Ovis aries: one gene and its partners. The main gene of each other region encodes a partner of the protein of the gene in region 3 in a complex. Links are inferred from orthologs where the notes say so. Each region holds a gene or a part of one and is shown on either strand. Other genes may lie near its edges. The genes, in order: MED23, MED31, MED16, MED26, MED1, MED8 and MED19.

The links.
Region 1: MED16 (region 3) and MED23 share a complex: the UniProt entries of both Homo sapiens proteins name them as parts of the mediator complex. The link is inferred for Ovis aries from reciprocal best matches to the Homo sapiens genes MED16 and MED23.
Region 2: MED16 (region 3) and MED31 share a complex: the UniProt entries of both Homo sapiens proteins name them as parts of the mediator complex. The link is inferred for Ovis aries from reciprocal best matches to the Homo sapiens genes MED16 and MED31.
Region 4: MED16 (region 3) and MED26 share a complex: the UniProt entries of both Homo sapiens proteins name them as parts of the mediator complex. The link is inferred for Ovis aries from reciprocal best matches to the Homo sapiens genes MED16 and MED26.
Region 5: MED16 (region 3) and MED1 share a complex: the UniProt entries of both Homo sapiens proteins name them as parts of the mediator complex. The link is inferred for Ovis aries from reciprocal best matches to the Homo sapiens genes MED16 and MED1.
Region 6: MED16 (region 3) and MED8 share a complex: the UniProt entries of both Homo sapiens proteins name them as parts of the mediator complex. The link is inferred for Ovis aries from reciprocal best matches to the Homo sapiens genes MED16 and MED8.
Region 7: MED16 (region 3) and MED19 share a complex: the UniProt entries of both Homo sapiens proteins name them as parts of the mediator complex. The link is inferred for Ovis aries from reciprocal best matches to the Homo sapiens genes MED16 and MED19.

What each region holds. Positions count from the first base shown.
Region 1 is NC_056061.1:57,023,510-57,027,362, reverse strand, and holds part of MED23 (mediator of RNA polymerase II transcription subunit 23), read left to right. Parts: intron 1-1,143; coding exon 1,144-1,318; intron 1,319-1,958; coding exon 1,959-2,122; intron 2,123-3,853. UniProt on the Homo sapiens protein: Required for transcriptional activation subsequent to the assembly of the pre-initiation complex. Component of the Mediator complex, a coactivator involved in the regulated transcription of nearly all RNA polymerase II-dependent genes.
Region 2 is NC_056064.1:25,115,133-25,119,479, forward strand, and holds the start of MED31 (mediator of RNA polymerase II transcription subunit 31), read left to right. Parts: upstream 1-1,202; 5' UTR 1,203-1,269; coding exon 1,270-1,297; intron 1,298-2,148; coding exon 2,149-2,226; intron 2,227-2,698; coding exon 2,699-2,795; intron 2,796-4,347. Other genes in the region: C11H17orf100 (uncharacterized protein C17orf100 homolog), read right to left, coding at 441-818. UniProt on the Homo sapiens protein: Component of the Mediator complex, a coactivator involved in the regulated transcription of nearly all RNA polymerase II-dependent genes.
Region 3 is NC_056058.1:41,098,719-41,102,571, forward strand, and holds part of MED16 (mediator of RNA polymerase II transcription subunit 16), read right to left. Parts: coding exon 3,850-3,853; intron 3,699-3,849; coding exon 3,506-3,698; intron 3,013-3,505; coding exon 2,796-3,012; intron 1,557-2,795; coding exon 1,473-1,556; intron 987-1,472; coding exon 860-986; 3' UTR 846-859; intron 1-845. UniProt on the Homo sapiens protein: Component of the Mediator complex, a coactivator involved in the regulated transcription of nearly all RNA polymerase II-dependent genes.
Region 4 is NC_056058.1:6,188,926-6,193,361, forward strand, and holds the start of MED26 (mediator of RNA polymerase II transcription subunit 26), read left to right. Parts: upstream 1-1,523; 5' UTR 1,524-1,784; coding exon 1,785-1,856; exon of another isoform or gene 1,857-4,436. UniProt on the Homo sapiens protein: Component of the Mediator complex, a coactivator involved in the regulated transcription of nearly all RNA polymerase II-dependent genes.
Region 5 is NC_056064.1:39,606,772-39,611,154, reverse strand, and holds the start of MED1 (mediator of RNA polymerase II transcription subunit 1), read left to right. Parts: upstream 1-1,301; 5' UTR 1,302-1,510; coding exon 1,511-1,535; intron 1,536-3,585; coding exon 3,586-3,692; intron 3,693-4,383. UniProt on the Homo sapiens protein: Component of the Mediator complex, a coactivator involved in the regulated transcription of nearly all RNA polymerase II-dependent genes.
Region 6 is NC_056054.1:18,064,130-18,067,170, reverse strand, and holds the end of MED8 (mediator of RNA polymerase II transcription subunit 8), read left to right. Parts: intron 1-258; coding exon 259-399; intron 400-593; coding exon 594-675; intron 676-1,043; coding exon 1,044-1,292; intron 1,293-2,019; coding exon 2,020-2,084; 3' UTR 2,085-2,404; downstream 2,405-3,041. UniProt on the Homo sapiens protein: Component of the Mediator complex, a coactivator involved in the regulated transcription of nearly all RNA polymerase II-dependent genes.
Region 7 is NC_056068.1:79,749,916-79,754,459, reverse strand, and holds the start of MED19 (mediator of RNA polymerase II transcription subunit 19), read left to right. Parts: upstream 1-1,415; 5' UTR 1,416-1,448; coding exon 1,449-1,665; intron 1,666-1,723; exon of another isoform or gene 1,724-2,346; coding exon of another isoform or gene 2,347-2,446; intron 2,447-4,544. Other genes in the region: TMX2 (thioredoxin-related transmembrane protein 2), read right to left, coding at 802-990. UniProt on the Homo sapiens protein: Component of the Mediator complex, a coactivator involved in the regulated transcription of nearly all RNA polymerase II-dependent genes.

The DNA of each region.
Region 1 (3,853 bases), on a different chromosome or scaffold from region 3:
TCTTAGAGAAAAATAGAGCAAAAAAGAGGGATAAGACCCTCATAGAGGGTCAAGGGAATGGGATACATTTTTTAAAAGTTGTGGTTAAAAAGTGAGGGTCGGGGGTGGGGCATGCAGTTGTACTAGGTGCTTGGGATGTAGTAAACAGGACAGGACAGACCTGTCTGTAATCATAAAAACCCATGACCCCATTTGGCTGGCTTACTGGTTTGCCCCCGGACAGCAGTAAGTTCCAGGTCTGACTGGCAATATGGAAGGCATGTTCCTGCATTGCATTACAATTCAGTGCAATTCAATGTAATAACAATTCAATTGCATTACAATTCAATTCCTGCATTATAATGTCTGTTAGTTATTATGCAGTTCTAAATAATAAACACTTTCTAATATGAAAGTGTTTTTCTGATTTGCAGTAATTCTAATTTTTTACCAATGCGGTATCATTTTAACCATGGTTGCTCTTCTTTCCAGATAATTGAAAGTCAAATTAAGCTTTCTTAGCAAAAAGGAATGGGTTATGATATAATTTGTATATTAAAAAATGATCCTCATGCTTTGAAAGGTTGGGAACATTAACTTTATTAAAATAATTTAAACGATAACTAAATAAAAATAAATGAAGACATGAGGAAGGCTAGAGCAATTTTTTCCCATTTCCTGGCTCTTTACTTTCACAGATGAACTTGACTATCATTTTTCAAATTCCAAAGAAAAATGCAAACTTGGTGTTACAATAAGAATCTGAATTTTCTTCCTTACAAAGTGAAAATGAAAGTCGCTCAGTTGTGTCCAACTCTTTGTGACCCCATGGACTATACAGTCCATGGAATTCTCCAGGCCAGAAGTGGGTAGCCATCCCCTTCTCCAGGGGATCTTCCCTTCTCCAGGGGATCAAAGCCAGGTCTCCTGCATTGCAGGCGGATTCTTTACCAGCTAAGCCACCAAGGAAGTCCTCTTCCTTATAATTAAAGTACAAATTATGGAGAAAATTGGGGATATATATGTGTGTATCTGTGTGTTTGCATGTGTGTGTGTTCATGATCAAAATCTTTGCATAGATTTTACTCGATGTGACTTTTCTTTAATTATTTTTTAATTCATAGCTTTTACTGATTGGTGTCTTAAATTTTCTTCTTCTTCAAGGTCAGCTTCTGCCAACTGTTTTTAAATCTCACGCCTGGGGTATCTTGCACACTCTTCTTGAGATGTTCAGCTACCGGATGCACCACATTCAGCCCCATTACAGAGTTCAGCTCCTAAGTCATCTTCATACTTTGGCTGCAGTTGCACAAACAAACCAGAACCAGCTCCATCTCTGGTGAGCTCACTGGAGACTGTCTTTCCTTGGATTTGTTAGAAAATTTGTTTGAGATGGCCAACTTAATCCATTACCTTATAACATTCACTGTCATAAAATTCCTCTGCTTCTGGAGTGTTTTATTTCCAGTATAGAAAAAGTAGAGTTCAACTTCTTAAATAGAAACCTACTAAGATAGTTGAATCATTGCTTGGGGAATTTGGACTGAGAACAAGTACTTCCACGACTTTGACATTGTGTTTTAACTTAGTGCTTATTTAGATTATGGTTAAAGTATCATGTTATTTTGATTTTGCTCTAATTGAAAATATATTCCAAATTTTTTGAGATGTCATTTTTGAAACGCTGTGTATCCTGGTGAGATTTTTTTTTTTAGTCCTTAAAGCTACACGCTGTCTTTTTCAAATGGGTAAAAATGCCGGATGATTTTTACTATTAAATTTGACACCTCAGATTTTTAAAAACAAGTTAAGCAAAGCTTGTTTTCACACAAAAGAGTTTGCTTTTACTCGAAGAAGAGAAATTTATAGTTTGCATGTTTCCCCATTGTGATTAACCTAGAATCACATTTAATTCTAGAGTTCTGAGTTTATATGCAGCTTAACTTCTTCATGATTGTGTTTGTTCTCCCACTTTGCAGTGTTGAGAGCACTGCACTCAGGCTTATAACAGCACTGGGTAGCTCAGAAGTACAGCCGCAGTTTACACGCTTCCTCAGTGATCCCAAGACAGTGCTCTCAGCGGAATCCGAAGAACTGAACCGTGCCTTGATACTGACCTTAGCTAGAGCAACTCACGTAACAGGTACAGTGACCATGCAGCCACCAGCCCCAGAAACAGATGTGTCAGAGGGTGCTGTGTCTCCTGACTGCTGGCCTGGGGGTGGGGGTAACACATGAGAAGATTCTCCTCACTTGTATCCAGAAAAACCAGTTGTTGTTTGGTTATCGTTACCATTTCAGTCATTAAAGCAAGTTCTTCTGTACTACCATTTTAACTTGGTTAAACATCAGTTTTTAGTCGTCTGACATCATTTTAAAGTCATGGTTCCTGAGCTTTTTGAAAGTCTCAGGGACCACATTATACTCAAAAATAATAATAATAATGATTAAAATTCCAAACATTTTCTGTTTATATGGATCATATCTATGATATTTGCTTTTTTAGGTATTACAGTAGGACTTTTTAAGATCTGACTCATTTTAAAATAACAATAAAAAGCCTATTACATGTAAACATAAATAGTGTAATTTTTGGTGTAAAGGAATATAGCTGAATTTAATGTCTGGTATAAAGGAACATAGCTGAATTCTCTTACATTCCACCTATTATAGATGTTATTTTAGAAGAAGTAAGTGAAAAAAAAGAAAACACTATGGTTTCACATAGATATGAGGTTGGGAAGGGAAAGAGTATTTCAAATAGCTTTTTTAGCTAATTATGAATCTGCTTTAATGTTACACAAAATTGAATAATTGGTCATTTCTTAAATTTTCATTGCAATATAGAATCCAAAGTCCTATCAGGAACTCTGTACTCTGTCACATTATAATCCAATTATCTATTTTGTACATTTACTGGATTTTGTGTTCATGCATATTTTAACTTTATGGGTTGGTTTTTTGGAAAACATTGATTTACTGGATTATGTAGGTAGATTTATAAATGTTGACACATTTCATTATACAGTATCAGAAAATTATATTTTTTTAACCTTGCTACAAATTTCATTAGGAAAAGTCTTTAAGTTTTAGAAAGCTATTAGGCTTGTGATAGTGGATACAAGTTATCCAAAATTCAGATTTTCGCTTGAAAGGTCAAATTTTATCATTGGTGAAAGATACAATTATTTGTTCTTCTTAAAGTTAGAGGCTCCCTTTATTAATTTTCAAGAAAAATATCTGCCTAATGCCCAAATCTGAAAAACTATATGTTCTTTCAAGTAAAATTGGGATTCCATGACAAAAGAGCTAATTTGACTCAATATTCAATCACAAGGTATTTTTCCTCAAGATAACCTTCATACTTTAATATGTAGCTGGAACACCTTATGCATGCTTCCATTTTATCACACAAGATGTTACAAACAGATGTACTTAAGGGCTGAGACATAATCTTTTTTACAATTTTATCAGAGGTAGTCTTAAGTGAAACTGGCAGTTTTTTTCCTGCTAAGAGTATGCTGTGGTGAAGATTACAGTGGCTGTGAGTATAATTTGGTACCACTGTTTGATTTGTTCCAGCGGCCAGCAGTGTTACCCAACCATTGCTTTTGCACCATCAGTGCACATTTCAACATGGGAAAAAGGCCAATGGTATCTTAGTATTATTATTATTATTATTTTATTAGTGTTGACCTCATCAAATTCTTGAAAGATATTGGGGACCCACAAAGTCTGCAGACCACACTTTGAGAATGGCTATTTTAGAGAAATAGTTACTGAATTTAGCAACCTCAAATACATTTGTGTATACTGTCTTATTTTACATAAATAAACCTCTTTGATTTAGAGGATTATAGACTATAGGTGTTTC
Region 2 (4,347 bases), on a different chromosome or scaffold from region 3:
CTGCCAGGCTCCTCTGTCCATGGAATTCTCCAGGCAAGAATACTGGAGTGGGTAGCCATTTCCTTCTCCAGGTTTGAAGCAGCCAAGGTTATTTAAAGGGCCCCCAATTCAAAACTCACCTGCCTTGGAGGCTCAAACAGTCTCTTTTCCATCAGCTTAACACATACAGTATCTAGAGCCTAAAAACTTTTTATGCTGGCTTCAAATTAAAATAGTTCACTGGGTCAAAGGCTTGCCTTTGGTCCAAGGTGCAGGAGGGTCAATGAATGTTGGCTAAATCCCGAAACCGCAGCTTGGCTCTTTCTTAAATTGATCTGTGGACTGTTTCCAGGAAACCAAAGATGATCGGTCCACCTGGCAGCAGGCAGGCTGCGAACTGGAGGCGATTCTGCCCTGGCCAAGGGCCATGGCCCCCTCGTGGCCCCGAGGAAGGCAGCATTTCATCGGGCCTTTTGGATGTTATGGCGGGCGGCTGGCTTCTCCCGCCGCGGCGTGCTCTCCACGCGGTGCACAGACGTCTCCACCCGCAGGGACGAGGCCCTGACGTGGCGGGAAGCCGTCTCTGTGAGCTGCGAGGCGGTTTCCACGTGCTGGGAGGACACCTCGAGGACTCGAGGGAGCCGCTTCCCAGAGGAGGAGACGGAGGGTCCCTCGCTGCTGCGCTGGGTGGTCTCCACCTGCCGGGAAGATGTCCTCACGTGACGGTAGGATGTCTCCACGCGGTGGGACGAGGTCTCCACGCTGACCGTCGCCGTCTCCTCGGAGCGGATGGATTCCGCCCGGGCCGGAGAGGGCTTTCCCCGAAGGGGTGAGGCCATCTTATGGGGGTAACAGGGCCAAGCTGACCTTTGGAGGCCCCACAGCCCCACAATCCCCGAAGGATTATTTTATACGGTGAGGAGCGACGTCACATGCCATTGTGATGCAGGCAGAGCGGTGGTCGAGGGTCCCGCGAACCACGTGGAGGCACCGTGATCTTGGGGCGGGGAGGCCTAAGATTCCTTGGGAACGCTGGGTTCGTCCCCTCGAGAGCGCCGTCTGCCCCCGCATCGCCCCTTAGCCTGTCAAGAACCTGTCCGGGTGGAGGCGGGGTTGGGGCGGGGCGGGCCCTGGATGGGCGGAGCCACCCGCCCCCTTGCGAAGCTGTGCCCACCCCCGCATCCCACACTGCCCCGCGGCAGGAAGGGGACGCTGCGACTTCCGGACCTTCCCTGTTTCTCCGATCCTGGCTGTGTGGGGTTGCTGGGGACTTAAGAGTGTCTGCTGGTGATGGCCGCGGCCGTCGCTATGGAGACAGGTGAGTAGCGCTCTGAGCCTCGCGTTTTGTCAAATAGAAACTGTCCCGGGTCCAGACACCTGCTTCCCGGGATTTTTTGAGAATCCAGGCCCAACTCCCGGCAGAGTGAGTGATCGGAGCGGGAGGCACCAGGGTTTTTTTTTAGCGACTGGAAGGGCGAAGGTAATTTGGCCTTTTCAGAGTTTGTTTTGTTGGCCGATCCTTTCTCCCCGTTAGTTATTCAAACAGTGGCCCCACCGGCTTCCAGAAGACTAAAGGAGAGATTTTGGATCATAAACCGCTTCCTCGAGTTGTTTTTTTGCATCTCAGATGAGCTTGCCTAAGTTTAAAATATCGTCAGCGAACTCTTGTATTACTGTGCCACTAACGGGTCTCACGTAAGCACGCGTTTCTTGATACTCACCAGGGTCTCTTTCATCTTGCATTCTGAACGTCTCTTGATGGATTTAGCATTTTGTTTTTGCTAAGCTTGATCACTTAACAGCTTGTAACGCACTATCAAAATAAGGCAAGGCACATTGCTGCAGCTTATCCTAGTGATCACTGTGAAGTCCCAACATGGTGGCTCACGAGTGATTAATGTTCTGCTCCATGTATAATCTTGTTTTCTTTGATAATTTAACTTTAGATAAACCTTTTTTTTTTTTTTTTTTTCTTAATCAGGGCTTTGCTTTCCTTAGACTTATAAGGAAGGTGTTTCTCCTCCTACACCCAGTTTAGGAAAACCTTTGCATGCTCTTCTTTATGTAACTCAGCATTAGTCAGATGTCTGTACTGCTGTTTTCTGTCTAAAAATCAGTATTATATACAGTGACATTTATTTTGGATGATTTTGCTATCTTCTCTCCTAGATGATGCTGGAAATCGACTGCGGTTTCAGTTGGAGTTGGAATTTGTACAGTGTTTAGCCAACCCAAATTACCTTAACTGTAAGTTGTTGAGCACCTCATTGAAGTGAATAGCTAGTTACGATTTCTGATAGAAGAGTCAAAATTCATAGTACTGTCAGCCCTTTGTATCCTTGGAGGCAACCTCAGTTGGTGGAATCTGCCCATCCTGAGGGTGACAATACTGTCATGGCACTATGTTGTTTTGTACAGGAGATTGGAGCACCTGTGGATTCTCGTGTCTGCGGGGCCTCTTAGAACCAACTCCCTGTGGATTCTGAGAGATGACTTTAGTATCTAGTTTTGTACATTCTTAACTGAATGGAATGACTGTTGCACTTATACTGGTATATATAATTGAGCAAACTGGGACTTCTGTTTTGAATTCAGTGTGTGTTGGTGGTGGGAATGTTATGTAAGTAAATTCTTTACGATTATGTTAGTCACAGATCAGTAGTCCAAGGACTGGTGTGCTCTACAGATGTATTTTTTTTTTTTTTTTTATGCCTTTCAGTTCTTGCCCAAAGAGGTTACTTCAAAGATAAAGCTTTTGTTAATTATCTTAAGTACTTGCTTTACTGGAAAGAACCAGAATATGCCAAGTATCTAAAGTAAGTTTAATTTTTATAGTCCTAAACATGTGTGTACTTTTATTATATTCCAAAGCACTGATATTTAATAGACTTCTTACTTTCACGTTGGAAAAAATACCTGTTGAATCTCTGCTCTCCTTTCAGTTGCCTCCATTTTAATACGAGACACATCATCTCTAACTTAACTGGGATTACTGCAGTATCTACTCATTGGTATTCCTCCTTTCTCCCTGCCCTGCCAAACAAAGAAGAAACATTTTCTGCACAGAAGCCAACTTGGTCTCTTAAAAATAGAAATTACATTCCATTAGAACCCTTTGGTCGCTTCCCATTGCATGCAGAAGAAAATCTCGTCTCTTAGCCCTGTGTGATCTGTCCCTGTCTTCTCTGACCTTATCTTGTACCACTCCCTGCATCTCACTGAGTTTCTGACCTCAAGGAACCCGCAGTCCATATATGCAATGACAGCCATAGCCTGAAAATGAAAAAACATAGAAAGAGGTACTTACTTGTAAGCAAGGGTTTCTGGAGAAGGTAACCGTACCCGAGTCTTAATAGCTGCTTTCTTATTTTATATATCTTACATAATAAATACATGAATTTATCATTCAGGTTGTGCAATAGATACTCTCGTTTTAAGGCTTACTGAAATGCAAGGAGCATATTGTAATCACAAACATTTCTTTTTAATGATAAAAAATAAGCCTTGAACACCCACCTCTGCTTTGTCTTAAATAGGTAGTCAAAAAGCAGTGGTGAAATGTCTAGCCTTTTTTTTCCCCTAAACAGACACAAGTTTGAGAGGAGAATGTTTAAGACTTGTACTTTGGCCAAGCCACTTTTCTCTGTCTAATAACAGCTGCTTTATGAAGTCCACATCCTCCTTTTGCCTGTGGGACCCTTTCCACCCTTACTGGCCCTTTATAAAAGAACCACTTATTCATTTAATAATCCAGAGAAAATATATATATTTTTTTACTAGATTGCAACATGTTATATGTATGTATTATAGACTTAGAGACTCAGTGTTGGACACTGAGCCCTGGACACCGTCAGGTTCAATTTTACCCACAACATTGCTGAGATGGTCATCTGTATACTGGCTGGAGGTTTCTAGTGAACACATACTAATTCAGGGGCAGCCAATTCCGTTGTTAGCTAGATTCCAGAAAGTTCCTCCTTGTATTATTGTGTCCGACTCTTTGCAACCCCATAGATTGTAGCCTACCGGGCTCCTCTGTCCATGGGATTTTCCAGGCAATAGTACTGGAGTCGATTGCCATTTCCTTCTCCAGGGGATATTCCCAACCCAGGGCTTAAACCCAGGTCTCCCACATTGTAGACAGATGCTTTACCGTCTGAGCCACCAGGGAAGTCCTATAACATGATATACCTCTATGTAACTTTAACTCATGTTTTGAGTTTTGACCCTGAATTAATCCAGAACCAATCTATGCCTTCTTGAAGAATAACCATTCAGATATTTAAATTTAAGAGAGGCTGCAAATTAACTCCCATTTCATTTCTACACAAGGTTTTTGTTTAGTAGTTGTCAAAATTTAAAGATTGG
Region 3 (3,853 bases):
GCAAACGAAAACCACAATAAGGATTCACCTCACACCAGTCAGAATGGCCATAGTTAAAAAGTCTGCGAATTCTGGTGAGGGCATGGAGAAAAGGAAACCTTCCTACATTGTTGGTGGGAATGTAAGTTGGTGCAGCCACTGTGGAGAACACTATGGAGGTTCCTCAGAAAATGAGCAAATATCCAGGCAAAATTATAATTCAAAAAGACACATGCACCTCAGTGTTCACTGTAGCACCATTCACGACTGTCAAGACATGGAAACAACCTACAGCTCTATCACCAGATGAATGGACAGACATGTGGCACATAGACACACAAGCAATATTGCTCAGCCATGAAAGAGAAGAGTGCCACTTTCTGCAGCAGTGGATGGACCCAGAGATTATCATACTAAGTGAAGTCAGTCAGACGAAAAAGAAAAAAGACAAAAATCACTTGATATCACTTACCTGTCAAATCTAAAATATGACAAATGAACTTATTTACAAAACAGAAACCAACTCAAACAAAGAATGCCAATTTATGGTACCAAAGGGGAAAGAGGGGAGGGATAAATTGGGAGTGTGGGATGAGCAGACACACACTGCTACATATGAGCAAGATGAACAACAAGGTCCTACTGTACAGCACAGGGAACCATATCCAATACGCTGTCATAAGCCACAATGGACAAGGTATGAAGAAGACCATGTGTGTATACATATGACTCAATCACTGTGCCATATGCCAGAAACAACACTGTAATCCTTACTATAATAACTTAAAAAAAATTATCCAACTAATAATTAAAGACCATAACAAGTGAAAAAAAGAGAAAAGAAAAGAAAAAAAGAATGCACTTACAGGCTGAGATGTAGTCAGGGGTAGCTGAGGGGCATGCGCCACCAGAGCCCCCCACACAGGCAGTTCTTGATCCAGCGCTGCTCCCACTGCTTGACGGCGGTGGTCTTGTTGGGAGACTTGAGCATGGTGACGCAGCCGCACCTGCAGATAGAGCAAGCAGGTGGATGGGATGCTAGGCCGGCTGGCTGTAGCCACAGGGCCTGGCACATGCTACTGCACCTCAGGAATGGTGTTCCCTGCACCCCTACACCCCACACAGTGAGCTAATTCCTCCATATCCTTCTGTCTCCACTCAATACCACCCCTCACTTCCCTGAGTAGACACAGGCTTGGCCAAGCCTAGTGGGGTGGCCCTGGGGTCATCTGGCAGCAAGCGGGGCCACATGTGCATGAGCAGCGCGGAGCGGCCACGCCTCCATCTCTGCCCTTGTCAGGCCACTGGGAGCTCCAAGAGGGCAGGCTTGGGCCAGCCGCTCGCCGCTACCCCTCACCTCGGCCCCACCTTTTATCAAGATCGCCAGGGATACCCACTCAGGAGCCCCAGGCAGACACAATCCTGGGACCCTGGCTCATAGGCTGGGAAGCTGCCAGTGGTGGAGTGGAACAGCATCTCCTGCAGCTGCTCACCTGGTACACGCCTTGCAAGCCTCTGTGGGGTAGGCGCCCAGGTGCAGCCTCCGCAGGTGGTCCATCTTGGGCTGGCCTGGCACCCTGATGGAGAGGAGCAGGGGAAGGCTCGGGGGTGTGCACATGCACATATGCACATGTGCACTGGCGCACACATGCACATGCAGACACAAGCGCATGCGCACACACAGCTGTATGGGTCAGTCTCCTAGAGGCAAAGCATGTGTGAGAGCAGGGAGAATCCGGGAGCCGGACTCCTACACACCCTCCGCGCACAGGCCCCTGCTGAGGGTGGCACCTAGAGCAGAGTGGGGCGAACCCATCAGGATTCCTGAGGCTGGGCACTCGTATCACCCAAGTTTGAAAACTTCCGAGAGTGTGAAAGCCCTTTGGCCACCAGCCACCTCTCTGTGTAAAGTGTTTCCTGAAACTCGAACACAAACCACAGTGTGTGATTCATCAGGACGTTCCTCCCACGGCTTTAGAGATGAAAAAGAAAATCCGGAAGTGGAGGAGGAAGGCCCAGAGTCTTCCCGGCGGTGAGGGGGGCTGTGGGGATGCTAAGGCCCCTCCCCAGTAGAGGACCATGTGAGAATCCATCCCACGACACCTTGAATGGGAGGCGGCCTGTGGGGTCCTAGGTTCGCCTTCTGGCCTGGTGTCTATCTCTGGACTGCACCTTGGAGATTGAGTTTACCTGCCTGTAAAGTGGGGACAAACCCCCACCCAGGGTGCTGCTCCCTCAGCAGGCCTGGGCTTTCTGGACTCCGCACACCCAAAGAATGGCCCCCGAGGTCACTCCCAGCCAGGTCTGCCTAAGAGTGTTCTGCTTTCTGGGGCCTTGGGACCTGCCAAGCACTCTGGGCTGCAGTGCGATATATAGTGGGGGTCGGGGGGGGGGTGTGTGAACCTGAGCTCCAGAGGGGCTGGCTGGAGCCGGAGTAACCAAGGTTGGCCACATGGGCCCTCCACATGGGCCATGACAGGCCAGGGGGGAGATGACATCACCCAGACAAGCAAGGACACAAATCTGTACAAGACAATGACCTGTACACTATAGTACAATATAGTGCCTGGATGGAGGGAAGTGACAGGGCAGGGGAGGTGGGTGAGGAGGGGAGGAGTCTGGGGGCAAGGAGGAATCTCAGGGGCAAGGGAGGGGAGGAATATCGGGGGTAGCACTCAGGTCAGGCTAGAAGGAAGCAGCAGGCACAGCATGGGCAGAGGCCCTGAGACAGACATGTGACAGGGGATGTCAGGCAGGGGAGACCCTTCTGGAAGAAAGGGTATACAGGGCCCTGAGTCAGAGGTGGGTGTGCATACCTGATGAGGCCATCCAGCTGCAGGCTGCTGGAGCCACCAGGAAGAGCAGGGGCCTTGCCAAAGTGCAGGCGCAGGGGCTGCTTGGGCTGCAGGCGGCTGACCAGTCCATCACTCACAGGCAGCCAGTCCAGGCTGGGGATGAGCAGCTGACTGGGCAGTAGGCAGCACTCATCCACCAGCGCCTCGTCTGGCTCACTTGTGGGACCCTCATCACGACCTATGGGGGGAGCAGGGGACGCAGGACATCATGCTTAGCGGCCATGCCCACAGCACTGCCCACCAGGAGGCATCATGGCTTCCTCCAGGCTCACAGAGTGCCAGGTGCAGGCTCCAGCCCTGCCTTGACTTCTTGAAGAGCCTGGGAAGCTCCCTCCCCTTCTCGGGCCCGGTCCTCTCCTCTGTAAAATGGGGACCCATTTATTCATTTAAAAAATGTGCAGCGAGTACTGGGTGCCCTTCTTGGCATCAGGGAGGCAACAATGACAGAGCCTGGTCCCAGAAACACATTACACAGGACAAGTAGAAGCCTAAGAGTGGCTGATGTTTACTGAGCACCCACGCTGTTCCTGGATCTGTGCTAGGTGCTGGGGAAATAGTAGGGGGGCCACAACAGAGCAAATTTGACCTACGGGAGATTACATTATGGTGGAGGACTCAGCCAGGGCAGGAATTTTGGTGGGGAAATGAGAGAAGAGGAGCAGGTGTCTTACAGCAGATCCAGAGCTTGGTGAGCAGGCGAAAGAGCAGGGACATGCTGTCCTGAGTGTCTGAGGTAGCCGTGTACACAGGCAGGCAGCTAGGCTTCAGCAGGCCCCAGATACGGATGACAACCATCAGCTCTCGCAGCATGCCCAGCGATGTGCCATCCCGCAGGAAGCTGTGGCCTGGTCGCAGCGGGGAGCCCTATGGGGAAGAAGGTTCTGGTTGTGCACTTTGTGTTTGAACATTCCAGGACCTCTGAGTTGGCATCAGATGGCCTTTGGGGAGGGGTGGGGGCAAGGAGGTGGGGCTTCTGGGAGGAGCTAAGCTGGAGGAGGTGGGGCAGAGGGCACACCTGG
Region 4 (4,436 bases), about 35 Mb from region 3:
TATCTCCAAATGGGCTGGTTTCCAACCTGGACACCGTGTACACAAAGCACCTCATTCTAGCAGGGAGAGTGAATAAATTAAAGCGAGGTAATTTGCCCATATTTATTTTATCCTACAAGTGTGATGTAAAACTTTTCACACGTGCAGGAGCAGGCAACCACAACCACGTGGGGCAGCAGCCGTTTTTTGCAAATAAAAACGCTTCCCAGAAGCATGACAAATGGAAGACTAACAGGTGTAGCACAGAGCCGCCGAGGCGCGCATGTGGTTCTCATCAGCTGCCTCTCTCCTGTTTTAAATGTAGGTCTTCCTGTAACAAGAAGAAAAGTTATTTCTCTCGAGGCTGCGGCTAATGATCCACTCACTCACCTGCCTTTCTTACCCGTTTGCATAACCGTATATGTAATAAGAGCTTCCACGGAGAGCCGGCAATGAAAGAAGGCAATGAGGAGGCGAGGGGCCAGGAGAAGCCCTTAGACTTGACATTTAACAGTTCTGGGTTTGATCGGTAACTCTGGGTGACCTAGGGCCTCAGTTTCCTCCTTGGTAAGGGTGTTTCAGTTTTCCAGCACCACCATGCAAAGCAGGGTGGGAAGGTCTTTTAAACCAGTGATTCTCAACAGGGGTCGATTCTACCAGCCAGGTGACCTCTGGCAGTGACTGGGGACATTTTTGGTCCCCTGCAGGAAAAGGGTGTTACTGGCAGAGACCAGGGATGCTGCCGAACATCTTGCAACGCACAGGACAGGCCCTACAACAGAGTGATCCAGCCCCAAATGTTACTGGTGCCCAGGCTGAGAAACGCCGGAGTGGACACAGGTTTGCAACGTTGGTGTCAACTCATGCGGCCTCGGGGCTTTCCTAGCTGCGGTAGCGGCTCCTCCGTGAGACACTTTGCTGTCTCATGTTTTGGGGATCGTAGCCCGAGGCGCTGCAGACCCCCGACTCGCACCGCCCCCTCTGGAGCGTCCCACAGCGCTCCTCAGTTGACCCTTCCGCGCACAGAATTACAACGTGGACGTCTGCCTCCTGGCCTCCCCGAACGCAGAGGAGCTGGGAAGGACCCCGGGGCGCAGGAAACTTGGCAGCTTCTCCCGCCCGCGATTCCCGTCATCTTCGTCAGAATGGGAAAAGCTTTTCTACCCTAGGAGTGAGGTCCTTCATCTGCCCTGTCCGCCCAGAGCGCCAGGGTTCAAGGACTCGGCGCTCACCTAGCGTTTCCGTCGGAAACCTCCTGCCGCCACCCCCTCAACCTCCAGGCTTGGGTGGGGGCGGGGCCTCCAGGCGGCGGCCGTTGCCCCGCCCAACCGCCTCCCAACGGCTCCCTGGGCCAAGCGGTGGGGCGGAACAGAGGTGGGGGCGACTGCGCCTGCGCGCGCATGCGTGGAGTCTAGGGGCGTGGCCTGCAGGTGGCCCCGCCCAGACTCAGCGTCTCTGCCCGCCCTATCTCCCAACCTCCTCAGCGTGGCGCCGACGCTGCGTGCGGCGCGGGTTACCCAGAGTGCTTCGCGCGGGGGTAGCTCACTGGAGTTTGGTTCTCGAGGCGGCGGCAGCAGCGGCGACGGCTCCGGCGGCTCCTCCTCCTCCTCTGGTGGTGGCGGCGCCCCGGGCCTGAGCCCCGGCCCCGGCTCACCTCTCCGTCACCCCGCGCGCCCCCTCTTTCCCCGGCGCCGCGGGGAACATGAGGCTCCGCTCCCGGAGGCCGGCGAGTGAGTGACCCCGGTTCCCCGCCTCAGCCCGCCCGCCCGCTGGCCCGGCCGCTCCCCCCCCGCCTCGCCCAGGCAATGACAGCGGCTCCGCCGTCTCCGCAGCAGATCAGGGACCGGCTGCTGCAGGCCATCGACCCCCAGAGCAACGTAAGTACTCCTCACACGGGTTAAAGTGGAGGCCGCGTGGGCCCAGGACCCTCCCCCTCCCTAGTGCTCCTAGTCCGCCGGGCTCCGAAGGATCCCCCGGACACCCAGCTGCCCCTGAGGGCCGCTGCCATCCCTGTCTCTCTTCCCCCGGGCCCGGGCCGGGGGCTGGTCGGGCAGCCCGGCAGCGCTCGGTACGTGAGGCCGAGGCTTTAATGCGGCCTGGGCGAAGGGAGCAGATGGGAGCTGAGACTAGAGTTTTTCCCCCTCATCCACCCTAATTCTACGACCCTTGCTGTTCCTGACTGTGCTTGCCCACCTCGCCCTTACCATAGTACCCGCGACCCCCGGGAAGCCCTCCCGGCGGGGGGGGAGGGGAGGGGGAAAGGCTGTGAGCAACTGGTGTCCGGGGTAGGACTCGGGGAGCCCGTGCCGCCGGTGTCTCGGCCTTATCGATGAGGAGGGAAGTCTTATTTACCTTGCCTCCCGGCTGGAAGAACCTTTCTGGCTTCGAAGGGAGCCCCCCTGGCCTCCTTTACACCTAGCCGGGTGCCCAAGGCTCGTGGAGAGTCCCTTTCGGTTCTGAGAGTGGACTTGCTTCGCTGGGTCTCTCTTGGGGTCGCTGCCAACGGAAGATGATCTTGTAGAGAGTGGGATTCTTCCTATTACCTTTCTGGGCCTAAGTATTCCTTGCGTATCAGACCAAGGCAGAGCCCCGCTTTTGGGTAGTGAATTAGAGGTGATTATGTGCTCTCCCATTCCACCCAGAGCCCTTCTTCGTGTGCCCCCTACGTGGGGCCCTAGCCTGTTGGTTTGTGACCTAGACAGTCAGGGTTAACCCCAGGGTGTCGATTTCTCAGGTGCTGCTCCACTGAGGCTGCTGTTTGTGGAGGGATCTCCCCTGCCCTTCACCGTGTGTGTTGGGAAGGATTTATCTAATTCTCATATTTTCTCTGAGTGGTTGTCCGTGATAGGGGTTATTTTCCCTTGTGGCCAGAGCAGGTTCAGCAATGGCAAGATGTTGTAGCATCCAGGTATGAAGTGAGCCCCTGCATTTCCTGGGAGACCAGGAAGTGGCCATTGAAACCACTTTAATGTGCTGGGGATGGAAGAAATAAACCATCTTCGGCTTGGCCAGGTAACTTAGGTTTCTGTCACTGTGGGGACTTTTGCTTTTCCTTTACATGAGTTTTGCTGATTACTTTTAGCAGTAGGTTTTAGCCAGCACTGTGGGAATAATTCATGGTTGGATTGTACAAATTTGGTAGAAAGAGAGGAGTTGTGATCTTTATAAGACTGATTTCTGTATCATAAGTAATTCCTGGTCTTCAGGCCCCATGAAGATAGACTTGGTGGTACTTGTCTTTAACAAATGTTGTATACATTTTTGTTATGACTTTGGGGGTGGAGTAGGCACAAGCTATATAAAACCTTGCAGAATTTTTGCAGTAACTGGTGCTGCAGCAATTCCCAAGACTGAAAAAGTAGAGGATAAAACAAGTGAAATGAAAAATGTAGCCTTGATGACTTTCACCTCAGAGTGTAATTTCTCGAATTCCATGTGCTTGTTTGCCTTGCAGAGATTCTGAATGGTTGCTGAGATATTAGCACTGATCCTAATACCACCTAGGAGAGCTTTGGGATCAGGAGGCGCTTTAACAGGCAGTCACCATGTTGTAGATTAGGTGGGGCGGTGACCTCAGGGGTTCCAGTGTTTTGTAAGACTCTAAAGGGTTCCTAGGAGAACAGGAGGAAGAGGGTCCAAGCCCATGGATGTGTTCCGTATCATGGAGTGCACATTTCACGTGGCTTCTCTGGGACGACTCAGAGTCTTACTGATGTAAGTGTAGTGGATAAAATCGGGGTACTGTCTCTGAATATGAGTGATGAGAAAGTGCCTCCTTTAAATGCTGCTGTTGTCAGTGATGTTCCTGGGTGTTGTTACAAGCCATTTGACAGGAGTGTGGCTTGGAGCAAACTCCGCGGAGAAACTCAGAGCTGTGGAGGAATAGGTTGCCGGTAGAGATGGTGTGACCATATTTCTGCAGTTTCTCTTGATTGAACTGGGCCCAGGTGAGAGCTAGGTGGCTTCATCAAGGCATTGCCAGCACACAGCTGCTCTTCTCTGCCTTACCCAAGTAGAAACTCCACTTCTGCATAGTTAGTTGACACATATTTAAGATGCTCCTGGAAAATAAAAATGGGGACAGCGTTGAAGAGCCAACACTAAAATTAAACCTCTTTTGAGACAAGCGACTGAGAATTGTGTCATTAATGCTTACCTTTATGGGCATGCAGTTATGACAACAAACTTAACTTTTGCTTGAAAAGTCAATGTCAGGGAGCTGACTTAATATCCACAAGTATCTAAAAAGTTAGGGAAGTAACAAAGTAACATTTTCTGATCATCTCCCTGACAAAGAGAGTTCTTAAGAGGAAAGTTCTTTGCTCTAAATTCTAGCTTCTGGAGTACTTGAATATCTATAGCATCAGGCTTTGATTTAATAATTTTTGCCAGCTCAGTAATAAATTTTGTACACTTCTTTTCAAAAAGCAACTGAAAGTTTTTTAGAACAGTGGAAT
Region 5 (4,383 bases), on a different chromosome or scaffold from region 3:
AGGAGCATGGTTATACATATCTTTGTCGAAATAAACATGTCACAAATAAAGATTTGTTCTTATCTGTCTGTTCATCTGAACTGTAGTTACCAGCAGGAATTGTTTTGGAGGATGTTTGCATATCATTTTTGAAATATGGGGGAAAAGTCTGAGACTAAAGAGCCACTGGAAATCCATTGCTAAATATCCTTACAGCAAATTAGGTAAAATTTCAGCAGTTATTCTCAAGGATGTATTTCAAAAAAAAATTATAATAATAATAAAGAAAAAAAAAAAAGAGTAACCTTAACTATTTTAAGAACTTCCACCCAGAGCTAGTAGAATTGTATTTTAGTCTGGTTCTTGTTCCAATGGGCAGGAACTTCTAAATTCTCAGCATTAATCCAGATTTCTCTTCGTGAAAATTTACTGATACAAGAGACAGGACCACACATTCTTTGTGATTTGTAGTGTAGAGTGTGAGCTAACCTGCTTGCTTTTACTGACTACAAAAAAAATACAATCCATTGTGAACACCTTTGGGATCCTAAATATAATCGATGACTACTGAATATTCATTGGAAGGGCTGATGCTGAAGCTGAAGCTCCAATATTTTGGCCACCTGACTGACGCGAAGACTCCACTCATTGAAAAAGACCCTGATGCTAGGAAGGGTTGAGGGCAGGAGGAGAAGGGGAGGATAGAGGATGAGATGGTTGGATAGCATCACCGACTGGATGGACATGAGTTTGAGCAAGTTCTGGGAGTTGGTGATGGACAGGCAGTTCATGGGGTCTTTAAGAGTCGGACACGACTGAGCGACTCACCTGAACTCATGACTGTTGCAAACAAGTTTTTCTTAACTCAAAATCTTCCACGTCCTCAGAAATATTGAAAATGCTCAAGAAAAATATTTCTGAAATTAAAAAGGAAATTCGGTAATGGAAATTAAGTGTACTGGGCTACTTTGGGACGTCGTGTTACAAAGACCCAACGTCTAGTATCTCAATAAAGGGAAAGTTTTAATAAAATATTCCTAACAGCAATATTCTTCGAAAAGCTAGCATTTCAGTAAAGACAGCTGGGGCTTTTACTTTGCAAACTGCTTGAAAGCCAAATCGAAAGTGCCAACTTCCACAGAGGTGTTGAACACTAGCACTACACAAGCTCCACGCCTAGCTCTGAGAAGTCGGAGACAAACCAGAGAGCAGGCAGGGTGGGGATAATCTCGCGAGAAGCAACGTATAAATCATTTTTCGCGATATTTGGTGCCCAGCCCCTTTCCCCCTTCTCTCTCTCGCAGGATCACGGTTAATCTCGCGATCTTTTGGAAGTTCCGTTGGGGAAGATGGCGGCGGCCGCGAGCACCCTTCTCTTCTTGCCGCCGGGGACTTCAGACTGAGTCTTCCCTGGAAGAGTGGGACTGCAGGTTCCCTGCGTCCCGGGAGCCCGAACCAACTTGGTTCCTCCATTACTGGTGGGGAAGGGCATATCCTCTTGTGTAGGACTTAGGCCCTCCCCGCCGTCAGGATGAAGGCTCAGGGGGAGACCGAGGGTGAGTGACTGAGGGGGAGATCAGGGGGCGGGACACAGCTGGGGGAGCCAATGCCTCCGCGGGGGCCACTCTCCCGAGGGCTCAGGATCTAGGAGGCGGGATATGTCTGAGTTTTAGATTCTGACTGCCTTCCTTGGTGATGGAGAGCTTCGACTTTGGGGAGATGGGGGCTCCCAACTTGAGTGTGAAGGTTTCCTATTTGGCAAGGGGCAACATTTGGGCCTCAGGGCATTTTTTAGCCTAAAGAGATGGGAGACCGGGCAAGTGAACGTAAAACTTTCTTCTTCAAAAGAGAAATCTGAATGATGACATAAAACAATAATAGGACGCTATATATCAAAGTACTGTAAGATGTTTTGTCGTGAATGAAATGATTAGGTCCTTATGGTATTAAAAGCCAGTAGTTTTAAAAAATGTCACAGCGTTCATATCTTGTAGTATTGTATATTTTTAAAATGCTTTTAATTTCAGTCTTTAAATATCTGAACTAAAAACTGTTGAAAAACACTTTTCTGTGTAACTTTATATTCTCTAAAGTTCCACATTTCAGCTTAGATGCTCCGTTAGCATTTTGGACATAGTTCTGTTGATACAGGATTATTTTTTTGTCTTCTCCAATGTGCTCTGAGCTTTGTAGAGCAGGATCTTGCCTTACTCATCATTGTATAGTCCTGGGCCCATAATGTTGTGTTGTTGTGTTAGTCACTCAGTCGTTTCCGACTCTGTGACCCCACGGACTGCAGCCCACCAGGCTCCTTCACCTATGGAATTCTCCAGGCAAGAACACTGAAGTGAGTTGCCGTTTCCTTCTCCGGGCACATAATAGTTGCTCAAAAAAACGTTTCACTGAAGCATTTTTGTAAAGATTTATCGTCGGCCGCCTTAAGGGAGAGAAGGGAGGTGTGTTTGAAGGAGAAAGAAAAAAGGGTGCAGACGAATGACTAGTGTAAGTGGAATCTTAGTGAGGCAGGAATTTTGTCTAGTTTGCTCACTGCTGTATCTCTGAGATGTAAAATAGTGCCTGAGTGAATGTCTGAAATATGGGAATTGCCAAACATTTCTCCAGAATTATAAACTGAATGAAACAGCCCCAAGAACAGTTTTCCAGAAGATGAAGGCCTTGGAGGGAGGAGTTGAATCTCGATCTGAAGATGTCACTACTTCATCTTTGATTGCTGACATTCTATTCATCTTTCAAGACATCTTTTCTGTAACATCCCTAAACTAATTACACACTTTTCCTCCTTTGAATTTTGATAGTAATGTGTTTCTATTTTTAAGAGCATATCTCATTTTGCTTTGTATGATGGTTATTTTCACATTAACTTATCCACACCCCCTCACAGATGTCATCTCAGGCATATTGTATTTTTGCACTGCTGGTCTCCAGCACAGTCCTTGCTCATGTTAAGCAGTTAAAAGAATTACAGGAGTGTTGGAGGTTATAGGAGGTTCCTTCAAACACTATCTGGGATCCATTCTTTTCTACCTTTCTCTTACCTTTGCCTGAAACTCATCCTTTAGTCACTTGACATTTCCTTTGTTCATATAGTTTGAATTCGAACAGGAAATAGCTGAATGGCAAATGAAGCTTGTTTTCTTGATAATACTTACAAATTGATCTCTTAAAATTATGTGAAAAAATTAAGAAAGTCTTTATTTTCACATTGAAAACCAACTAACTATAGTAAGGCCATGTTCAAATGTATGCTCTGCATATGTCATGCAAAGGATTTCATGCCTATCATGAAATTATTTTGTCATTAAATAGTAGTCTTGATCCTCAGGACTGGAGGTGGTTCTTTTTTTGCTTCTCATTAAGTCTGAAGAGAAAGCAGTCCCCTTCTATAGTGTTGTTAGATTAGGCCCATAATTTCTGTCTACTTGTTATTAGAAATGAATTCTTTGTGTATTTTGAAGTAAATGATATTGGATAAGATTTTAACTTGAGTTCGTACCAGGATGAAGTATGGGAGTTTTGTTTGCAAGAAAAACTGTGGAAGGTCTTGAAAGAAGAGTTGCTAATAATTTTTTCTGATTTATATCTTAGAGTCGGAAAAGCTGAGTAAGATGAGTTCTCTCTTGGAACGGCTCCATGCAAAATTTAACCAAAATAGACCTTGGAGTGAAACCATTAAGCTTGTGCGTCAAGTCATGGTGAGGACTATGGTGAACTGGATAAAGTGTTGTGCTTAGAAAATTATTTGATAAGCTAAGTTACCTATGTAGACTTTTTCTAGCTAGTCATTATGGTGTGTCTTCAGTTTTATTTCTCATAACATGATGGCTTTCAACTTTTAAGTCTACCTAAGAAGAAGATATGTTAATAGAATTGTGTTAATCATGAGTTATAGTAAGCTGGGATATTTTAGGCAAAAGTTGTAAGAAACACTTACAGAGCGTAATTAGTTTCCTAGTGACCTAGTGTTTAGGATTCCCAGCTTTCATTACTGTAACCTTGGATTCAATCCCTGGTTGAGGAACTAAGATCCCACAAGTCCCACAGTGCTGCCAAAAAAAAAAAAAAAAAAGATACATGTGATAGCCTGATATAGAGAAACATTTACTTTTTACTTCCTGTCAAGCTCCTTGATTCTAATGTGTTAATACTTTCATTGTATCTATACTGGTAGAAGAGTTTGCAATCATTTTTATTAACTTCACTTGTTTACTCTGTGACTTCCTCTACAGTACTTTCTCCTTCCTGAGGCATTCACCAGTATGGGGAGCCCTTAGTTAAGTGGTATACAGGGAGTGGGGTGAGTGTATAGCACAGCACTAGTAAAAGAATTGAATTTGCTGTCAGAAAAAGCTTTATTTTAATCTTGACTCCACTACTACCTGTGTA
Region 6 (3,041 bases), on a different chromosome or scaffold from region 3:
TCTGTCCTATTTCAATCTTTGATTAAAATGTGGTAGAGAAGGGTTTATCCTTAGATCTGGTAGAGACAGGGTGTGAGTAGATAGAGTTGAAGGATGGAATGAGGGGAATAGTGTCTTAGGAAGCCAGATATTATTAGTCTCAGGTTATGTTTTCCCTGAAAGTGCACTGTTTGCCTGTGGAAGGAACTATGTGTATATCAGGCCAAAATTGAATCTTCTTGGAGTGCACAGTAGGATCATAAAATCTGTGTGTTACAGAGGCAGACTGAAGGACGGGTACCTGTTTTCAGCCACGAGGTGGTCCCTGACCATCTGAGAACCAAGCCTGACCCTGAGGTTGAAGAGCAAGAGAAGCAGCTCACCACGGATGCTGCTCGCATTGGTGCTGACGCAGCGCAGGTTGGACCGAGTCCCTGCCCTGCTGCCCTACACCCTCGAGTTTTACCATAAGAGGCTGAGTATTCCCACTTCTCTATTGTAGGGTATGGCAGTTGGTTATGCCTCCATTGCCCCTGGAATAGCTCAAGGAAGAACCTTTCCTGTAATCATTTCTTGCTTGCCCTAAATTCTGCACAAACTTACATGTGTTACAGAAACAGATCCAGAGCTTGAACAAAATGTGCTCAAACCTCCTGGAGAAAATCAGCAAAGAGGAACGAGAATCAGAGAGTGGAGGTATGGAGGGATTGGTGGCAAAGTGATGGGGGAATGAGGGATAAGATCACTGGAATAGGAAGGGTGGTATTGGTAGTGGTGAAATGAGGATGCAGGGATGTGCTGTTTAGCCAAGGGTATGCATCTATTCTGTTGGCCTTCTATATTTCAGGCCAGCACTGGGGCAGGTGGAGAAAGGAGCAAAGGGAGAAGGGCGAATTCTGAGATAGTCATGGGGGTCCTCTGGCTCTTCCTCTGGGTTGCCAGGAAGTCTGGATGCTACCGAAGTCAGAACTCCAAGCCCTGGCACTCATACTGGTCTTCCTGGTGCTAGAAGAAGTCCAGGGCTAGAGGCATACCTCAGGGTCTCCACTTACTTTGCCCTTCAGGTCTCCGGCCGAACAAGCAGACCTTTAACCCGGCAGATACCAACGCCTTAGTGGCAGCTGTTGCCTTTGGAAAGGGGCTGTCTAACTGGAGGCCTTCAGGCAGCAGTGGTCCTAGCCAGCCAGGCCAGCCGGGAGCTGGAACAGTCCTCGCAGGAGCCTCAGGGTTACAGCAGGTGCAGATAGCAGGAGCGCCAAATCAGCAGCAGCCAATGCTCAGTGGGGTGCAGATGGCCCAAGCAGGCCAGCCAGGTAAGGTGACAAGGATTGGCTTGGTGACAGACCTTGAGCAGGGATGTGAGAATAAACTGGGTTATCTGCCACACTTCCCCCTCACCCCATCCCCAGGGCTGGAGACATTCTCCTTTTCTCCTTGGACTGTGACCCAGAAAAAAACTCTTGAGAGTGAAAGTCTCATTTGAGACTCTGTTAATAGACACCAGACAATGAGAAAGAACTTCGACTAAAATTGCCCTTAGCTACCCTTCTGTGCCCTTTAACTCTGGGTGGGTGTGTTGTCAGTGTCTCACCCTAGGTATTAGGATCACTGGGTAGATGTGTTGGGAGTTGACAAGCAGGCAGGTTTTCCAGTGCTACGCGTATTCCTTGCTCTGTATCCTGTCTCTTCTGCTCACTTAGTAATTATCAGAACAGTCTGGAGGAGTTCGGATATAAGCAGCTAGAAGAAATATTTTCTTCCAAGCTGTCTAGGCAAAGGGACAGCTCTCTTTTTCCATTAGGGGAGGAGCAAGAGCCTGCAGGGATGTGCTCCAGCCCTTCCCGCTATTCCTCCTCCTGACCATCTTCAGGTAGAGGGCTGGGCAGGGAGCTGTACCTCTGAGCCTTGTCACCCAAGGTCAGATGCCACAGATTCTGAGCTGATGGAGGAGATGACAGAAGGGAACCTGGGAGGCAACACTTCTGATTTATGACGAACATCTGACTGTGCTTCAGGTGTCTTTCTTCGTGTTCTTTTTAGGGAAAATGCCAAGTGGGATAAAAACCAACATCAAGTCGGCTTCCATGCATCCCTACCAGCGGTGAGTGTGAGTGGCAACCTCCACTCCCAGGTGTTCTTTTCAGAGTTGGGCAGTGAAACTGCCTTTTGCCCAAAGCTGACCTGGATGGGTACAATGAAAAGAACACAGGCTTTCGGCCACAGACAGATCCCATCTCCACTGCCAACTAGCTGTGTGACCTTGGGCAAGTGACCTACTTTTTCTGAGCCTGTTTTCTGGTTTATAAATGATGATAATACCTACCTCATAGGGTTGTTGTGAGGATTAAAATGGGAAAATGATGTAAAACACTTAGCACAATCTATGAAATAATGAGTATTCAATAAATGAGAGTTTCTACAGCCACTTCTCCCCACTGCCCCCTCCTCGGTCCTCGATCCAGAACTTGCCCTGATCTGAAACTGCTTCGTGTCTGTGGTGAGCTGATGGACACAAGATCGTGGACCGCTCAGCTTTGTTTGAAAGCCTGTGTTTATTTTGTGCTGCCAGAGATGGTGACAGCTTCTGTGTCCTTAGAGGCCCGCTGCCTCCACAGGCCTTGCTTCCCACATTCCAGCCTGGCCATCTCTCCAGGCTGCAGGTGACGAGGCCTCCGGGCTGAGACAGACCATCCACTTACAACTCTGGAGAAGCTTGGGACTGCTCTACTCTCCATCCTCTCAGAAGCCAGTTCAGCTCTCATCTGGGAAATAGTCAGAGTCCCCTATCCTTTACCCCACCCTGGGCATGTCAGGGAAGATGCTGAAGTCCCAGTAGGTGGGGACTTCCTCAGGAAGTGGCTCTGCCAGGCAGGACTACGTGAGAAAGGGTTTTGTGAGCAAGTGAAAATGTCCCTTGTTCTCCAGACCTTTTTTTTTTTTCTTTCATATTTTGGAGGGAAAGGGGACTTGCACCTCACACCGTCTCTCATTGTGGTTGAGTCATCCTCAAAGTATGCCTGGTTCCTGGGCTCAGTTAGCATGGCTTTTCTCCAGTCCACTGA
Region 7 (4,544 bases), on a different chromosome or scaffold from region 3:
TAAAGCATGCAGAATCTTAGTTCCCTGACCAGGGATGGAACCCAGGCCCCCTGCAAAGGCAGTGCAGTCTTAACCCCTGGACCACCAGGGAAGCCCCTCAAGTTATTTTTCTGAGTGGTCCCTCCATTCCAGTTCAGGGAGAACTCCAAGAGGCTTGAGACAGATTTCTTTACAGCGTTTTTTTCTTTTTTTTTTTTTTTACAATTCCATTTCCATAGGCCTAACAATTTTATTTATTTTTACATCCCCAGTATGCGGCACACAGCCCAGCACACAGTCCGCCCTGAGAGACTGTTAACTTGATTTTAAGAAATGGCTGTGTGCTGTTACCGTGGCTAAAGAGTGGCTGCAAATCCTCGTCGCTCACTAGTTGTGTGACCTTGGACGAGTCTCCTAACTACGCCAAGATCCGTTTCTTCATCAATAAAACGAGAATACTACAAATACTACTCGCCTTGTACAACTCACTGGTTCTTTATTAACGAGCAACACTGGAAGAGAGTGCGAGGGCCCAGTCTGGGGAAGACTCTGGTCGAGCATGGATTGGGAGGTGGGAAGGAGCTTGGCCTCAAAAGGCAGAAGGCTGAGACTGCTGGGCGAGCTAACCGGCTGCTTTCTCACCCTAAACAAGAGGAGGGTTAGGCTCGGTAACAATCCACGCCCTACACTCTTAGCAGTCTGTCAAGTCCGCTAAGAGGCCCGGAACCTGAGGCGTTCTCAAAACGGTCCCTCGGGGCTCCCGGCTGCGACCACCAGGGCGGGGACAGTCAAGGTCGTGGGGTCCCGAGGAGGGTCGCTCACCCAGTCAAAGTCACACGGGTTGCCGTCTTCGCGTTGCGTGGGGAGACTTTCGCAGACAGGGGGCAGCTTCCTGACGAGTAGGAAGGCAGCAGAGAGCAGGGCTGACAAAAAGTAGTAAGGTCGAGCCAGCCATCGTGAAAGTCGCGGGACTGAATACACGAGAGCAATCAAAGGCGCTAGGACCGCCATCTTCTCGGCCCCCTGAGGCACCGGCCGCTCTCTTCGGCTTCCGTAGGTCTGGTCCCGCCTCTCTCACCATTGAAGGTTTCCATTGGGCCAAGTGTCAGATGGCCCGCCTCTAGACCCGGAGCTAGATCTCTGATTGGCCCTCTACGGCAGGTAAGGGAGGTGAGAGAGGGATTTGATATGCTATTGGCTAACCTAGCTGTCGCTTTTACTACCTAAGTCATTTCATTGGTTAAGCGATTGCTGCGAGCGGAGGCCTCGGAAAATTTAATAATGTTAAGGAGTATTTCCTGAACGTTCTCAGAAGGCGACGGAAGTCGTTGCCGGAAGAAGGTAGGCAGGGCCAGAGGCAGTCCAATGGTAAACGACTCCTGGAGGAAAAGGGCGGTACCCCGTGAAAAGATTAACCAATGAGAATCATTAACGCCAGACACCGGGACGGCGCCGGGGCAGAGGGGACGATGGAGAATTTCACGGCGCTGTTCGGGGCCCAGGCTGACCCGCCACCTCCCCCAGCGGCACTCGGCTTCGGACCCGGAAAGCCGCCCCCCCCGCCGCCACCGCCTCCGGGCGGGGGGCCCGGCCCGGCCCCGCCCCCGACCGCCGCTTCGGCCCCTCCCGGGAGCGACAAGTCGGCGGCAGGCTGCGGCCCCTTCTACCTAATGAGGGAGCTGCCAGGTGAGTCCGAGGCCCGGCCGAAGCCGGCCAATCAGATCGCCGCGAGGTGGGGCTGGGCGTGGCTCCTAGATGCCGAGGGAGGTGAGGGGAAGCCCGGGCGGCGCGTGCGGGGATTTCGGAGCTCCGTGTCGGAAACGACTGCGAATTCAAGGCCAAAGGCACGACAGGAATCCTCAGGATGGACTGGGAATGAGAAGAATGGGTCTCTGTGGCCGCCTTTCACGCTCCGCCCTGTCTCTGAAGCTGATGGTGGTTTTATGATTCCCTAAAAGTTACTCCCTGGAGGTTCAGACGGTGAAGAATCCGCCTGCAATGCGGCAGACCTGGGTTTGAGCCCTCAGGTGGGAAGAACCCTGGAGAAGGGAAAGGCTACCCACTGCAGTATCCCTGCTTGGAAAATTCCGTGGACGGAAGAGCCTGGAGGGCTACAGTCGATGGGGTCGCAGAGTCGGACACGACTGAGTGGCTAACTGAAAAAGCACCCAGGGTTCAAGTTTGGAATTTGAGAGTCCTTATTTAACATCCTTGCGGACCTAGTTCCAAATCTGCTTCCGACTTCCTGTTGGTTTGTTGCCTTTCTTTTTTCTCTGGGCCTGGGCCTTTCCTCATCTGTTGGAACAAGTGAATAGAATTGGACCAGACTCTTTCATTCAAAAACTTATTTCGTTGAGCACCTATTTTATGTACCAGGGGTTATTGTACACTGAAGATACAACTGTGAATAAGGCTGACAAGATCCTTGCCTGTTTGGGAATTTACGTGCCCATGGAGGAGGCAAAAGGTAACAGGGTGAAATCACAAAGCAGTTACGGCTGTAGGAAAAAAAAATGTGATAAGATTTAAGGGAGCTGAACTGCTTTAGCTAGAGTGATCAGAGAAGCTCTTTCTGAGTAGGTTACTTTAGAGTTAAAATGTAAGCGCAGAGAAAGAGCTAGCCATTTATGAGTGGGAGAAGGAATAACTGGATACAAAAAAAATGAAATCAACAGCCCCAATGTGAGAAAAATCTTGTAATGTTTGAGGAACAGAAGATCAGCTGGACTCCAGTGAAGTGAACAGAGGAGTGATAGATAAAGTGAGAGTGTAGGCAGAGGCCTGTGTTAGACATTTAGATTTTAACATATTATTGACCAGAAACATGTCAATACCTTTTTTAGAGAGTGAAACCATTAACATCACCGTGGGAAGTTGTTAAAGCTTAAAATTGATCAAGGATTCATCATACAGCTTATCATTGACATTATCATTCACATTTTGCTCTGTTAGGTTTTTATTCCAACCTTGTGTACCTTATAAACACAAGTTTATTTTCATAAAATTTTAAAAAGTGACACACCATGCAGTTTTGAATGAAGAAAATTTTTTCAGTGAATTTTATGCAGATACTTTCTCTTATTGTCCGAGCAGCACCTAGTGCTGCAGCCCACGGGGTCGCTAAGAGTCGGACACTACCGCGTGACTTCACTTTCACTTTCATGCATCGGAGAAGGAAATGGCAACCCACTCCAGTGTTCTTGCCTGGAGAATCCCAGGGACGGGGGAGCCTGGTGGGCTGCCGTGTATGGGGTCGCACAGAGTCGGACACGACTGAAGCGACTTAGCAGCAGCAGCAGCAGATGATAGTTGTTCCGAATGTAGTTCTGATTCAGATGATGTGACTATTAGACCAACAAAGAGACAGAAAACCTTAGTGATTGTTTTCTGATACGGAAAGTGAAAATGAAACTCATGGTGCTGGAGAAGACTTTACAGGTGTGTCAGCTGTAACTATTGAATGTAATAATGCAAAGTGGTAGTGAAATAGCTGAATTAATTATTGCGTTAGTTTCTACAAAAATCCCCCTTTCAATAATGTTACTGCTTAGTGGTCCAGGAAAGAGGTGGTTTAGACTAGGCGATAGCAATGGAGGAAAGAAGTAAATGGATGCAGGATAAATGTTAGAGGTAGAACTGACAGGAATGAAGGATTGAATATAGAAGTGGAGGAGAGAGGAATTGAGGGTGATTTCGAATTTTTGGCTTGAATAACAGGATTGATGGTAGTGCTGAGGTCAGGCAAGAACAAGTTTGAGGAGGTGGAAACCGGGAGTCATTTTAGACATACATGTTAGTCTCAGGGACATCTTTCAGTTCATCCCACGTCCATAGCTTTGACTGTATGGACCTTTATCGGCAAAATGATGTCTCTACTTTTTTAAAATGCTGTCTAGGTTTATCATAGCTTTCCATTCAAGAAGTAAGCATCTTTTAATCCCATGGCTGCAGTCACTGTCTGCAGTGATTTTGGAGCCCAAGAAAATAGAGTCTGTCACTGCCACCACTTTTTCGCCTTTTATTTGCCATGAAGTGATGGGACCTGATGCCATGATCTTAGTTTTCTGAATGTTGAGTTTTAAGCCAACTTTTCCACTCTCTTTCACCCTCATCAAGAGGCTCCAAAGTTCCTCTTCACTTTCTGCTATTAGAGTGGTGTCATCTATCTGAGGTTGTTGCTCTTTATCCCAGCAATCTTGATTCCAGCTAGTGATGTTTCAGTAGGATGTTTATACCTTCAACGACAAATGCAAGTTGAAGGAATTTGAGCTTTTTCCTGAGGGAATGGGAAACCATTAAGATTTTTGAACTGACTCCAGCTTCTAAAGATATCTAGAGAGCATGGGTGCCATGTACTAAAATAAAGGAACCATGAGTGAGGTGGGGAAAATTTGGAGTTTAAAAAAACAAAAAAATGTCAAGGGAATTCCCTGAGAGTCCAGTGGTTAGGGCGCCATGCTTCTTCTGCAAGGGGCTTGATCCCTGGTCAGGGAACTACAATCCCGTAAGCCTCCCGGTGCAGCCAGAAAAGAAAACTGAATCTGCAGTGAGTTAATTAAGCGAAT